2 linked regions of the Rattus norvegicus genome follow. The protein of the gene in region 2 purifies or fractionates together with the protein of the main gene of each other region. This does not show direct contact. Links are inferred from orthologs where the notes say so. Each region holds a gene or a part of one and is shown on either strand. Other genes may lie near its edges. The genes, in order: Gdi1 and Rab1b.

The links.
Region 1: the proteins of Rab1b (region 2) and Gdi1 purify together in Homo sapiens (affinity purification with mass spectrometry; 3 studies listed by BioGRID and IntAct, counting the BioPlex papers as one, with this or other methods). This does not show direct contact. The link is inferred for Rattus norvegicus from reciprocal best matches to the Homo sapiens genes RAB1B and GDI1.

What each region holds. Positions count from the first base shown.
Region 1 is NC_086039.1:157,235,504-157,242,828, reverse strand, and holds the start of Gdi1 (rab GDP dissociation inhibitor alpha), read right to left. Parts: upstream 3,930-7,325; 5' UTR 3,806-3,929; coding exon 3,761-3,805; intron 2,593-3,760; coding exon 2,485-2,592; intron 2,326-2,484; coding exon 2,226-2,325; intron 2,089-2,225; coding exon 1,954-2,088; intron 1,543-1,953; coding exon 1,344-1,542; intron 1,090-1,343; coding exon 958-1,089; intron 1-957. Other genes in the region: Atp6ap1 (V-type proton ATPase subunit S1 precursor), read right to left, coding at 5,187-5,396, 5,610-5,838, 5,927-5,974, 6,652-6,890, 7,229-7,314. UniProt on the Homo sapiens protein: Regulates the GDP/GTP exchange reaction of most Rab proteins by inhibiting the dissociation of GDP from them, and the subsequent binding of GTP to them. Promotes the dissociation of GDP-bound Rab proteins from the membrane and inhibits their activation.
Region 2 is NC_086019.1:211,839,057-211,846,365, forward strand, and holds the start of Rab1b (ras-related protein Rab-1B), read right to left. Parts: upstream 4,167-7,309; 5' UTR 4,096-4,166; coding exon 4,082-4,095; intron 2,455-4,081; coding exon 2,382-2,454; intron 2,140-2,381; coding exon 2,044-2,139; intron 1,944-2,043; coding exon 1,848-1,943; intron 1,594-1,847; coding exon of another isoform or gene 1,465-1,593; exon of another isoform or gene 1-1,464. Other genes in the region: Klc2 (kinesin light chain 2), read right to left, coding at 5,712-5,795, 6,214-6,271, 6,428-6,552, 6,626-6,784, 6,879-6,987, 7,225-7,292. UniProt on the Homo sapiens protein: The small GTPases Rab are key regulators of intracellular membrane trafficking, from the formation of transport vesicles to their fusion with membranes.

The sequences.
Region 1 (7,325 bases), on a different chromosome or scaffold from region 2:
CTGTAGTAAGAAAAATGATGGGGAAGTCTTCTCAGAAATGTGGGGACCAATTCTACTGTACCCTCCTCACCCCACCAGTGGGGTAGAGAACACAGGTATACAGAGTTTAACTCCAACTGTTTCAGGTGTCCCTCCCATAAACTTAGGGCCCATACTGACATATTCCTTCCTCTCTGGTGTTTCTGTACATATTGTTCTGCAAAGGGTCAACAGAAGGTAGCATGAAGAAGTAGCTCCACATAGAAACAGCCCAGGAGGGGTTGGGGATTAGGCTCAGTGGTAGAGCGCTTGCCTAGGAAGCGCAAGGCCCTGGGTTCGGTCCCCAGCCCCGAAAAAAAAAACAAAAACAAAAAAACAAAACAAAACAAAACAAAAACAAACCAAGAAACAGCCTAGGAGTCAAGAATAAAGAACTCTCTGTAAGAGATTCAAACTCCAGGGAAGCCCAGACACAAGGTTCCGGGGTCCTAGACTTAGTCCTGGTACTACCAAGAGCTGGGGGAAGCTATGTTCATGGTGACCTACTTCTTTACTTTGTATTTCCACCTACTTTTAAAATTATATATATATATACACACACACACATACACACATGTGTGTGTTTTGTTTACGTGTATATCTGTACACCACATGCATGCCTGGTGCTTATGAAGGCCAGATGAAGGTTATGAATTCCCTAAAACTGGAATTATAGATGGTTGTGAACTACCATGTATATTGGTATTGGAATTGAACCCGGGTCCTTGGTGTAAACAAGTGCTCTTATCTGCTGAGCCATCTCTCCAACCTCTACTCTGCACTTTAATGCACTAGGGCTATGCCCCCATTACCCAGGGATACAGTAATATACATGAAAATTAGATGGGAAAGTAGGAGATGCCACAAAAATATTCAAGGTAATTTCCATTCTTGGCCTTGTCTTACCAGTAATGCTAGCTGAAAAAGACAGATCCTCACCTGGCAAAGCCCTGAGGCAGCTCACCCAGGCCATAGAGTGGGTACAAATATGGGCTCTTGCCATACCGGGCCAGGGACTCACTGTACAACTTGATGCGGTTAATAGTCTCAAGACATGGCTGATCCAGGTAACTACGGAAAAAGAACCAGGGAATATGCTTTGATAGCAGCACCCTTGTTCATTTACAAAGACACCAGCCAGCCTTCCCACCACCCTTTGTGACCTGGCAAAGATGTGGGTCAAATGGAGAGGGATGGAAATGGAACAGGTGAGCCTGGAGCTGAGTACAAGTGACATGCAGGATGGGCAGTAGGTACAATAGGCAGGTGTGGAGAGGGTGTGAGCCAGACAAGGGGCTCCCATCACCAGCCAGCTTTCCCCTCACTCATCAGTGCGGTAGAGCGCCAGGGCATGGCCAGTGAAATCAATGACATCTTGGCCCAGGTCAAACTTCCGGTAGACATCACGCATGCTGGTGGTCTGCGGGTCAACACCCTCAAAGGTTTTGGGGTCATTCTCATCAAAGTTTGCCACAAACACCAAAAATTTTCGGAAGCGTCGTTTTTCAAACATGCCCATCAGATCTGAAAGAAAGGTATTGAAAAGATCATTTGCATTACTCGGACATAGAGCTCCTCTTTCTAACAGAGCAGGCCAGGAAAATTGGTGCCTTGGCTCCCACCAGAACTCTCTTATGCAACACTGCTCCACCTTTCTTGGTCTCAATTTTCCTATTTGTAGGAAGAGACCCTCCCAGCTCCACTTAGGGCAAGTAGGCCCTTTGACAAAAAAGAATCCTCTTCTGTGAACTTCCTTTCTGGCAACTTGCCAAGATTGGTAGCACTGTCCAATAAAGAAACTATAAAGCAAGGGGCCTCTAGGACTACACGGAGCTAAGATTAGGTTTATGCAAAGAGGAGCCTTTTGCCCAACTGTCCTGAAAACAGTTTGTCCCCTCCAGCCCCATTCTTCTGCTTAAGGAGACTCATACTCACTAGAAGCCAAGGCCTCAGTCTCAGTAGATGGCACTTTGTAGATCTTGCCCCCTTTGTATACAAAGCTGCCCTCTACCACCTTGAAGTCCAGATAACGAGTCACTTCTGTATACAGTAGCATCTTTACCAGCTGACCTGTGTCCAAAGGGAGTAAGGGTGTGTTTTCCTTCAAAAAACTCTCAGTAGTGTGACTGATCATATTCTGGAGATTGAACACCCCATACCCCATCTTCCTACTCACCACCCCCATCGCCCTTTTTAATCTCCCTCACCATTGGCCATGAGGAATTTGGGGATCAAGTCAACATTCCAGTCTCGGCCCCGGCCCATTGATTCAGGGGGCCCTTCCAGCAACTGAAAGCGCTTATATAGCTGTAAGCAGGACAGGAAAGAAAGACAAATGTCAAGGACTAGCTTCCCTTCCCCACTCTCCTGCCTGGGACCTGAGAACTACTTCCCCCCTTTACACCTATGTGGGGGACTAACAAGGGGTCTGGGTCTAAGCCCAAGTCTGAGAATAAGAAATCTTACCTCCTCAAGGGGTGTGATAGAAGAGCTCTCACCCCCATAGTAGGGGTTTCGGTCCATGTGCAACACCTTCTTTCCATTCACAGACATGATGCCAGACAGGATGCATTCCTGGGGAAAGAGTGGCATTGGCAGCTATACCTCATCTACCCTCCAATGAGCATCTCTGATTTGTCCCTGCCTCATGCCCACTACAAAATTCATAATGCAAAGTCCTACCTCTTTCCAGTGCCTAAAACTGGGGAGGGGAAGATAGCTTCATATGATGTTTCCTTTATAACCCTGCTGAGTAAACTACTAGAGCATTAAAGGAGGCTTGGGGGACAGAGCTTACAGTTCTTCTAGCATCAACAAGCCAAAAGTATCTACCTGCTCTGAGCTCACAAAAAGACAAGACAATGAGTCTACAGAAGAAACAATTCAAAGGCTCTTTGAAAGATAAGGCCAAGTCCTTGAAATCCCAGGCTCCACCCTGCTCCTCCTTTTAAGGGCAGGAGCCCCTGACTCTCTTCTGGCTGTGCATCCACTGCTCTAGGCTCAGGGTTCAAACGAAAAAAGATTTGTGCGGGGGGGGGGGGGGGCGACGGGGACACCGGACACTCTCACCAGTCACTGTCACTAACCCAAGGACAAAGGCTGAGGATATATATTCACTCTGAGGTCTCCATGGGAAACCGAATTGGGGTAGAGGGAAAGCGGTCACTAACACCCCCTCCCTACACACCACACACACACACACACACACACACACACACACACACACACTCCCTCCCTCCCTCCCTCCCGCTGTTTCTGGAACATTCCATGGGTTCCCTATCCCTCCCAAAAGGCAGAGAGGCAGGATGAGGGCCCACCCTTGAAAAGCCCCCATATCTTTATCTTCATACTCCATGCCCTAGTGTGATCACAAGATGGTAAAAGATGCTAATCAATTACTTGAGCAGGTGATGAGTGCAGGCGAAGGGTGGGGTTGGATGCAACGGGTCCAGTGTGTGTGAGGGGGGTGAGTTTTCCACCTCAGTGACACAGATAGGGAAGGTGAGGGGTCCGTGGTTAAGATCTAGGGTGCTGGAATACTGGCCAAAGTGGGGCCCTCTACGAAGAATTGCGAACTGGCATCAACACTCTAGGATGAGGTAGTGGGGTGGGCATGGGCTTTTCCAGGGCTGGAGGCAGGAACGCAATGATGGGAGGATGGGTCGGGTAACCCGGACTCTGCATCACTGCGGGGTGGGGGATGGCATGATGCAGGGCTACGAGCGCCTGAGGTGGCACTTACGGTAAGACCTGTCCCCAGCACAATCACATCGTATTCCTCATCCATGGTCAGGCCTTGGTACCAGCGCCCGCTCTTCTTCTCCTCCTCCTCCTTCACCACAGCAGCTGCTACCAATGCCTCTACTGTTGCTGTTGCTGCTGCTGCTGCTGCTGCTGCCGCTGCCGCTGCCGCCGCACTGACCCAAAGATGGCGTCTATCGGTCGTCTCCCGATCCCTACGCAGCGTCAATGAGTCCCTCTCCCTCCTCTGGCCAAGCCACGCCCAACCAAAGCCACCATTTCCTCGCTTGTTTTCTAGGAGGGGTTCTGGCACCTGGGTCCCAGCACCAGAATGATTGCAGGGGTTAACGCGGCTCTCCGTGAGCCCAGAGAAATACGGGGCGGGGCAGGCCGGCGGCAGGTGCTACGTCTAGCGAAGGATCCTTGCGCGGGAGCTGCGCGCGCCCCGCCCCGCCCCGCGCGCTCCCGTACCGCCCCTGGGAGAAACAGAAAGGCATGGAAGCCCTGCAGTGTGTTGTTGCAGCTGGCCCTAGCGCTGGGAGAGCTGCCATTGTCAGGATTCCTCCCATGGCGAGGAAAAGTAACAAGCCTCTTCTCCGGCTTGTTAAGAGTATCGGCTTACTGAAGACCCTCCCACCCTTCCTCTCTCATTTCTTGCCTGACAGGACTACATCTGAGCAGTTCTTCCCTTCAGTCAAGAACAAATCTACTTGTCCAGTGTAGAAATAAGTGGCTGGAGCCCAACACATGGCAACACGTCTTTATTTTATTAGGAATGAAACAACAGAGCACACCCCCCCCACACACACACACACATACTTCTGGCTTCTTGACAGGCAATCCTTGTGAGAACAAACCAGAAACCCAATGAGTACACTTTGTTCTCCAGTTCTCGTGGTGATTTCTTCCTTCTCAGGTCACAGAAATAAACCCCAGTGTACCGCTCATTCTTAACCCCCACCCGCCAAAAAAAAAAAAAAACCCATAAAGGCTAAGCTGGACAGTTAACTAGCCTTTCCACACCTCTCAAATTCAAGGGACCTCAAGTTCATGGCTATTGCTGGAAAGCTCCATAAAGCTTGGGGAGTGAGTATTTACTACACAAAAGCACTATAAACAGCACGAAATAATAGCAGAGGGGCAAGAATAAATAAGGAGAAAGGGAAAGGGGGGCACCCTAGAATTAAGGTCCCTTCCCCTCTTGATGAAGCCTGGAAGATTTATCTATGAAGAATAATACACTTTGTTGGTAGAAGTGGGGGATAGCCTCAGGGAAGTCCCTGTCCAGGAAAGAGGAAGCAAGACAGGCTGAGGGTGGTGTATGTAGGGTTCATGCTATAGTAGGAAGAGGACAAACCTTTCCATCCACTGTGTCACAAAATGGAAACCTAGACACCAATACTCCCTCAATCCCTCTCTGGTATATGTCACACAATCTGGGTCAAAGTGATGGTGGGGCCCTTGTGGTCATCAAAGCGATCCATGGTCTTTAGGCTGAGTATCATGTGCAGACCATAGGTGAATATGAAAAGCATGAAGAGGGTGGTGAGCAGCCCCATCCAGATGCCCGGAGAGAAGAAGCCAGCACAGTCGCTAGCATAGGAGAACTGTTCACCAGTCACATTGAAGGCTTGGATCTAGGAGATACATAGACATGGATCAGATGGGACCACAAGGTTCTACAAACAGTTCAGTGCTGGGATTCTGGAATTAATGAATAGTTATACCTTCAGAGACTATACAAGGATGGAACTCTCTCGGCTACATGCTCAAACCATGCAGAGATTCTCTGGGCCCTTTTTCCCGCCCCTTATTGCCACCAGCTTGGGGGCCCATCACCCTTTCAATACCTGGAAGTTATGAAGAGTCATCTGCCAGAGGGAGGGCACGTTGGTCACAAGGAGACTGCCTTTCTTGCTCAGACTGCTGACGTACTCACAGTGGAAAGAATAGATACTAGGTCCTGTGACTTGGGAAACATTGAAATGGGCAACCGAGCCATTGCTGTGGATTTCAAGTCGTTCCATGGTAAACCAATATCGGGCAGATACTGGGTAGAAGCGACTAGCCAGAATGAACCTGGGAGGTGGGGGTTGCAGAGATGTCAGATGAACAAAATAGAGTGAAGACATACCAGCCCAGCCAAACTTCAGCCAACAGAACTTACTTGAATGTCACTGTTGCACCAAAGAGTGGTTCATAGGTCAGTGAAAGCCTATGGGACAAGGCACAGGAGTACTGTCAGGCTCTAGAAGAACCTTAAGAAGATCCTGATCAGGTTGGCTCCAACCTAAGCAACCCTAGATCCATCCTTATAGCCAGCCAGCTGTCAATACAGTGTCCCCATTTACCATATGGGAAAACTAAGGCTCCAGTCATAACCAAATTAGGAGCAGCTGGAGCACAATTAGGTCTTACATCTCCAGCTTAGGATTCCTTACTCTGGTTTTCCTGAGTCCTGTAGGCCTCCTTCTTGGGATCATTTAGCTGCCAGCTGAGATTTCAAGGGTAGAAGACCTAGAACTGGTTTTAACAGTTGGTCTGGTATTTGCCTACATGCAGTCCAAGGGGTTGGGTTCAAAGAAGGGCCAGGGTCCCAAAGGATTGTGTGGTGTTCAGGACCCAACAACCAAGACATAAAAGCATGAGAAAGCCAAACTCCTAAGAGGATCCCTCTCCAGTAACATCCCAGCAACATCACCTGGGATACTGTGATATCCATCTCCTTGGTGAACACACCACACAAAGACCTTTCTCACCCCAAACATATATACCTATATACCTACACACACACACACACACACACACACATCCATCCCACATCCTTGTCCTGTACTGGGCTCACAGTAGCAGGAAAACCATATATGACAGGATAACCTTTTTTTCCCTTACATGGCAAAGGAGTCATTCCAGAAGGAGCCGGTCAAGTTAAGATTCTCCACACCAAAGGTGAGGGAGGTCAAGTCTTTCCATTCGTCTTTGTATGCCACAGAGAAGTTTTGTGCCCAAAACAGGATCCTTGGGGCAGTGTCATTGTAACTCACAGGAGGATGGATCGCAGGTGATGCCACCTGAGTCTGAAGCAGCTGGCGACCTAGACCCCCAGCCACCATGGCTACATCACGGGCCACCTGCAGAAACATTCAACAAGCCTTCTCTCAACAGCCCTAAAAACAAAACCTAATCCACTGGATTGGTATTCCTTCCACACTGGGTACCCTGTATACCATCTGAAAGTCCCTAGCCCTGATATTCCATCTCCCTAAACTAATAATCACACTGTCCAAGTGGCATAAACAAATTGGAAAAAAGACACTATGGATGGAGGAAGCAATCCTCTGTCCATTAATCCCCCAAACTGGAGGCTCCTGAGAGATCCTGTCTATGGCATACCCCTCCATCGCCAGTCACACTCACCACAATGCCTCTCACCCCTATCCCCCAGGGCCACCACTAGAAGAATACATACTCTAGAAGGGCGGACTGCAGTAAGAGCCGCGGTGTAAGGAACATCTTCAGACTCAAGTGTGCTCAGTACCTGTCCGATGACCTCATCTGAAGAGTGA
Region 2 (7,309 bases):
AGGCAGGAGGCGCCTCTGTGGCTCATTTGAATTCATGCCCTGGCTTCCTTTGGGGACCAGACAGAGCCTTTTGTTAACACCTGGTGCTCACTGTGGCAACAGAAAGCACAGCAGAGCACAGGGCTTCACAGTTCACTCACTGGGTAAGAAGAGATTACTGCCATTACAGACGCCAAGGGCCAGCTCAAGCAGACAGACATGGGAACCAATGGGGCATCTGTCTGGGCATAAGGACTCCAGAACACAAGGCAAACCCAAACTACAGAAGAGGACGCCCAAAATATGGGTTAATGGGCAGTAAAGGTATGCCAGTGGACGAGTGTGTGCTAGGTTGGTGGGACGGGGAGCTTCACACATTATCTTCAAGGAAAGAAAAGAAGGGGTTGGGGATTTAGCTCAGTGGTAGAGCGCTTGCCTAGCAAGCGCAAGGCCCTGGGTTCAGTTCCCAGCTCCGAAAAAAAGAAAAGGGAAAAAGAAAAAAAGAAAAGGAAAGAGAAGAAAACAAGTGCAAGAAGTCAATTTGGGCAAGAAGGTGATTGGGTTTTTGGTAGTTAACTAAAGCCTTTGGTGACCTTTGAATGACACTCAGCTCATCCAGCTAAGAAGAGCTAGGAAGTGGAGGCATAGAAGTGGAGGCAGGGGGGCTGGGGATTTAGCTCAGTGGTAGAGCGCTTACCTAGGAAGCACAAGGCCCTGGGTTCGGTCCCCAGCTCCGAAAAAAAGAACAAAAAAAAAAAAAAAAAAAAAAAAGAAGTGGAGGCAGGGGTATCAAAGTCTCTGGGCTCTTCCAGCCTGGGACTAATTGTATTTCTATATCCCTGGGGACTGGAAGCAACAAGGTTTGATAGAAAAAGCAAAGCAGATGGATCAGGACTAGGCTCTTAGATGGAAGGCCCTTAGCAAGCTACTGCAGCAGCCTGAACCAGATCTTCATCTTTTTTTTTTTTTTTTTTTTTTGGTTCTTTTTTTTGGAGCTGGGGACCGAACCCAGGGCCTTGCGCTTCCTAAGCAAGCGCTCTACCACTGAGCTAAATCCCCAACCCCCAGATCTTCATCTTTAAGATGAGAGAATGAGGTACTTCTTATGAGCATCACAAGACACTCACAGGGCTGGGCAGTGGAGGCTCACCCCTTTAATTCCTGCTCTTGGGAGGCAGAGGCAGGGGGATCCCTAGGAGTTTGAGGCCAGCTTGGTCTATTCGGATTAAGTTCCAGGACATCCAGGGATACAGAGAGAAACCCTGTCTCAGAATAACCAAAACCACCACCACCATCATCACCAATTAGAAGCCAGGCACATTGGTGGCTCCCCACTACCTCAGCTACTAGGGAGGCTAAGACAGAAAAGGATCATTTCAGTGGAGGAATTTGGGATAGGCTGGTAACAGAGCAAAACTCACATTTTATGAGGTAACTAACGAAGGAAATCTAAAGGCTACAGTGTTTATAAGATGTAAGACACTGTCAGGACAATTTTTGGCTGCTGCCAGTGACACATGACTGAAGCCACCACAGCAGATACAGGATTTCAGAATTTCTTCTTATACTGGGCTCCCTCTTGTGCTGTCTGAAGCCTTCCAATGCTTCCTGAATCTGCAGACAGGGAGCAATAGTAACCAACCAGTGGATAGAAACACGGGTAGTCTGGAAAGTCTAGACTAAGGCAGCAGGTGCCCTGTGGCCTAGTTCTATCAAGACTCCATGACAGGGTCTAGGTAGAATCCAGTTCTGTGGTCCTATTGCCCTTTTTATGAAGCAATTCAGATAGTGTCTCCCTTCCAGAAAGTTTAAGGAAAAGAAGCAAAAATCAAAACTCAAGGCTCAGGAGGTAAGGCTGCAAGGAGTACCTGGTCAGTGACGTCATACACCACAATGATGCCATGAGCACCCCGATAGTAGCTGGAAGTGATGGTCCTGAACCGTTCCTGACCAGCTGTGTCCCACTATGAGTCAGGAGGAAAAGGGTAGGTAGGTCAGCCACAGGAGAACTCCCACCCCAAGGAAAAGACTTCTGCCCGAGGGCTGGAGAAAAGCCATACTCACAATCTGTAGTTTGATGGTTTTGCCATCCAGTTCAATGGTTCGAATCTTGAAGTCCACCCCAATGGTGCTGATGTAGCTCTCTGTGTACGTGTCATCCTGAAAAGGTTGTGGCTAGTGAAACACTGGAGAGACTGGCTTCCTGCCCCTGTGGTGCTTCTCACTGCCAAGCCTCAGTTCTAATCACCCGACTCCCAGGGCCTGGGCCCTTGCTGTGGCAGCTCCAGCCACCACACTCTTAGTTCTCGGACTTGCAACTACTGTGTTCTGAGCTGCCCCCTCCTCTTCCCGGTGGTCAGCCAGGACCCCAAGTAGATAATACAGGGGTGCTTCTTACTCACAGCAAACCGCAGAAGCAGGCATGACTTGCCCACGCCCGAGTCACCAATCAAAAGCAGCTTAAACAGGTAGTCACTGGCAAGAGAAGACGGGAAGGTATGAAGGCGAGCAGGAAGTTCCCCCTCCTTCCTGTAGTAAGCATGACAGCACTACAAGGCATACTTCTGCTTGGTCTACTCTGGTGCTCACTAGATCCTTCTACTGTCCTGATTGACCCTTAGTATCCCCAATAAGCTAGCACACAAAAACCTTCAGCCTGTGTCAAAAAGAACACAATCTGCTAAGAAATACGCGGTGCTATTTGGCAGACACTATTTAAGAAACTCACGCTGGGCCTTACACTATGCCAGCTTAGGACCCAAAAACGAAAGCCTGACCCATGAAGTAAAAATAAACATGAAGGTGGGATGGGAGGTGGGGTGTATGTGTGGTGGGGGAAGGTGGTGCACATCTTTGATCCCAGCACTCAGAAGAGGCGGGGGCAGATTTTTGAGTCAGAGGCCAGCCTGGTCTACAGAGTGAGTTCCAGTACAGCCAAGGCTGCAAAGAAACCCTGTCTGAAAAATCCAAAACAAAACAAAAATGTGAAAGAGCCTGAGATGAAGTCACACAAGAGGCGGTCAACAAGTGGCCATGGAAGCAGTGGTAAATACTAAATTGTAACTGGATGTACTTGAAATACATGCTCACAACAGTGCAAAGAAGTGTGTTACTACTTCCAACTACGGAGGAAACCAGAGGTCACAGAAGGGAAGTGACTTGTCCTAAGCAGTTGATAACTGTGAGACTGGAAACCAGGCCTGTCAGACTCCAAGCTCTTTGACAGCTGGTAGCCTCCCTTCTCTGTTCCCCTCCTAAGCCCACTAGTGAGTTCAACCCTTCCTCAAGGAAATCTGAGGCCTAGAGTTGGGGAAGAAAAAGGAAGTGGAGAAGGGGAAGAAGATAACGTGGGTGCAAAACTGTATGTAGGGTTTGAGTTTGAGGAATAAAAATTCCGCTCTAAGGGAGCAAGCAAATTCACATTCACCTAATGTGCTTTGGCAGTGTGACAGCAGAGGGAAGCTATGTGACAGTGGCACTGGAGGCCTGAGCAAAGGTGAGAGGACAGAAAAGGACGGACTGCCGGGAGCAACATGACAGCGCGACCCAGGCAGGGCAAATGGTAGCCTCAGAGGAAAGGATCTGTAGGGAATGTGAATCAAGCAGGGACTCGGGGGTCCCCTCTTGTCTGGTCAGATTCTGGGCCGGCCCCGGGACAGAGGCTCCAGAAGAAAGGCAAAGAAAGGTTCACAGCCCAGTTGAAAGTATTCGACTCTGGAGATCAGAAACTATTGTGATGGGCTCCAAACAGCCTGCCCTTGGTCAAGCTGTGGGTGGGAAAAAAATTGAAGCTCAGGAAGACCAAATCTGCAGGGTCACCTAACCGAAAAGGCCTGTGAGGGCTGGCGCAGCGGGCTCCGAGTGCTGCCCATCCAGGTTGCAGCCTCAGGGACCCGGGCTGCAGAACTCGGGGTGTTGAGCCAGGGTCCTGGGGATCCCGGGGGGAGGGCAGGACCCGGATGTAAGGGGGGGGTCAGCGGAAGAGGGACCCGGATGTGGGGGCGCCGCGCAGTTCTGACCAAGGCCAGACAACTTCGGCAAGCATATAGCCCCATAGACAGGATCGAGGCTGCGCCGCACGGCGCGGGCGGGGCTCACTCACTATTCGGGGTTCATGGCGGCAGCGGTGGCCCGCTCGGTCGCTCCCAGTCGGCTCTGCTCCGCCTCCCGTTCCAAGATGGTGGCCGCTCCGCCCTAGAGGCCCCGCCCGCGCTGCGCAGCCGCAAATACTTCCGACTCGGGTTGCGCCGCGCTGCCTTGCGGAACCTGTAGTTTCCATGGATATTCGACTTGCCACTGCTGCGCAGGCGCAACCCAGGGAACCCGAGCAGCGGTGCACCCCAGTAGCCTCCGGCGAACGGCCTTCTGGGGTCTGTAGTCTTCCCAATCCCTGAACCAACTTAGCTACAAAAATCTTCGTTGTGCTACCCAATCCGCAGGTGCAGGCTCTTATTTAACACCGGGGTAGGTACGGTTCGCCTCTAAGATGGGCTGCCACCTTTACCCTCTAGATTCGCAGATTGAAACTAGAAGGTGGGAGGTATTTAGGGCCAGAAGATTTTGACTTATTCAGCGTTTTTCATGGGATGGGCACTCCGCAGCCCTAGCACTAGGATTATGTGATCACTAGTATTACATATATGAAAAATCCTCAGGAAACTCAGTTCAAGAAGACATCACAGACGGAATTGTCTAGAACCCCATTAGGGCATGTTAGACGCAACCCCAAATCTGTAGCATCTCCCCAAACAGTTCAGGATAATAGCAGAGTATTAGTTCCAGCCTCGAGGGCAGGGAAGATATGTGTGTATCCCTCACTCCCGAAGTCTCTCCTGATTCCACCCGACTCTAGGGATGCTCAGGGGCTCTGAATTCCTCAAAACAAGCCCGGTTCAGGTTCAAATCGTCTTTATTTCTACAGCAACATCTGAAAATAGAGAGCGACTGCCTTACCCAACAAATGGGGTAGTCCCTCCTGTGTGTGGGGGGAAGGGGGACATCAGAAGCTGAGGCTAGGGAGGCGTGGCAGGATGGCTCAACGGGCTGTGCCCAGGGTGGGGTCAGGCCATGCCTGGGCGGGGCTAGGTTGAAAGAACAGTGCATTAAGTCCAGGAGGCAGCACAGGGCCCCGTGGTGTGGGGGATCCGGGCATTTGCAAGGTGGAGTGGAAATCCCTCCAAGACCAGGCGAAGAGGTCTAGGAACCCCTTTTGGGAGGCTCTGGTCCCAGAACTTGGAGCTTGGAAGATACCACCACTGGGAACAGGGTGATTTAAGGCCTGGGCGGTACCACTGGATAAGAGAGAGGCAGGTGGTGGCCCGGGAATACCGTGGACTGAGGGGAGGAGGGTTGAATGACACGGCCAATAACTTATTTCTCTATATACAGAAGCAACGGCCGGGAGTGGAGGGGAAAGGTGCTGAGGGGACAGCAAGTACTTAGTGTTCTTGGCTTTGGGGACTGGGTAGGTAGGCCACCACTCCCACAGGCCCAGTACATAGGGAAGAGAGGCCCCCTGCTGGAAGGAATAAATAAGGAGCAGAGCTGGAGCCGGCAGGCCCATCCTCCAGGGCCTTGGCTGAGATGACAAGGGAGGAAGTTACCCTGAGATTGAACAGAAAAGACAGGGGTCCTTGGGAGGGGCAGGCAGGACAAGCAGCAGGCCCATGCGCAGGGCTAGGGGGAGGGATCATGTCAGATGGAGGTTCTGGTGACTGGCTGCCCCTTCAGCTTTAGCCCACGAGGGAGCTTCTTCGGGAGAGGTCCATGGAGCTGGAGCTCAAAGTGCGGCTGTCAGAAAGACCCGTGCCTCCAGGCTGTGGGCAGAGGATGTGTAGCTTAGTCCTAAACTGTTGGGAGTGAAGGGAGGGGGAGGGGAGCAGGACTCCAGAAGAGGAAGGGTTGTCGAAAGGGCCAAACTAGGTCCCCTGTGCAAATCCAGGCAGTCAGAGACTGGCCCAAGTTAAAGTTTAGCTCACACCCAGTACCTGCCTGAGAGCTTCACGTGGGCCTGGCTGACTGGGTCTCTGCCCCAAGACAAGGGATGTTTCCCTTTGCCTGACCTCTTCCTCCACTTGTTTCTACCAATCTCCTCCCAGCCCAAAGCAGGCCTGAAACCAGAGCAGTTGCTGGATAAAGACTCACCAGGGGAAGTTGGATGGGGCTATACACAGAAAAACCAGGGCCCAGAAGCTGAGTCTCGGCTGCCTAGAACCAGATGCCCTCCGTTCTTACCTGGACTGGTTCTTCCACACTCTTGTTAAGGAAGTTAAGAGAGCTGGCCCTCTTCATCCTGAGGAAAAGGAGGGCCATGGTGAGACAATAAAGGGACACCAGGTTGGGTCTGGGATGAAGGGCATGATTAAGCAGACTTGGTGACAGTGTTTCCTGAGAGGGATGGGAAGTCACTTGGGAGCCAACAGGATACAATCAAGGGTCAGAAACTCACCTAGAATTAGGGGGCTCCTGTGGGCCACCTCCCTGCAGCTTCCTCACCAGCATCTCACTGCTGCGTCTGAGGGCATCCCGGAGCTTCCCAAAGGAGCCACTGCGCCTCAAAGAGCCACTGCCATCCTGTGGGGGAAGAACTGTCTCTAAGACCTACATTCTTTGTACTCTTACAACTTATCTTGACCTCCATACTCACCCCACTCCATTCAGCTGCAGGCCCTGATTCCTCCAGGTCAGACTCAGACCGAGGCCCAGCACCCCCGGCCACATCTCTGCTGCCACGGCGGTCTCCTCGTCCACCACTACCATCTTTTAGCAGTTCTACCACCTTGGTCTGGCTGGCAGGATCCAGGCCCTGAAAGGGGGCAGGAAGCATCAGGCCCAACTGAAGCACACTTGGAGCCTCCCTCAGAGTCTCTATTTACCCTCCTCCACCACAAAAGCCCTACCTGTTTGCGGCTGCGGCTGGCACAGTCTTCCAGTGTGTGTGCAGCTTCCAGCTTGCCCTGGCGCCGGTACAGGGCGCCCAAGCTTCGCAGAGTGGTGTTGACTGTGGGACTGTGGACAGATGTCAGGGAAGTCTCAAACTCTTTATCAGGCACAAGATCACATGGGGCTCTAGGGACCAAACAGGCCATGCAGAATCTGGCCTCTCTTATTTGTCTGACCCTGTGGTAAACCCACTGGTTTCTCCCATCCTGAAAAAACCACTCTAGGGCTACAGTGTCCTCCTAGGTCACAATGCTATTTCCTTGGTCCTCATTCTACCTCTCCCCCAGACCTATGAGCCCTCACCTGTCAACTTTACAGGCTTTGTACCAGCTGCCGTACTCCCCATAGGGGGCACTGTCCCGGCGCTTATCCTGAGGGAAACATCAAT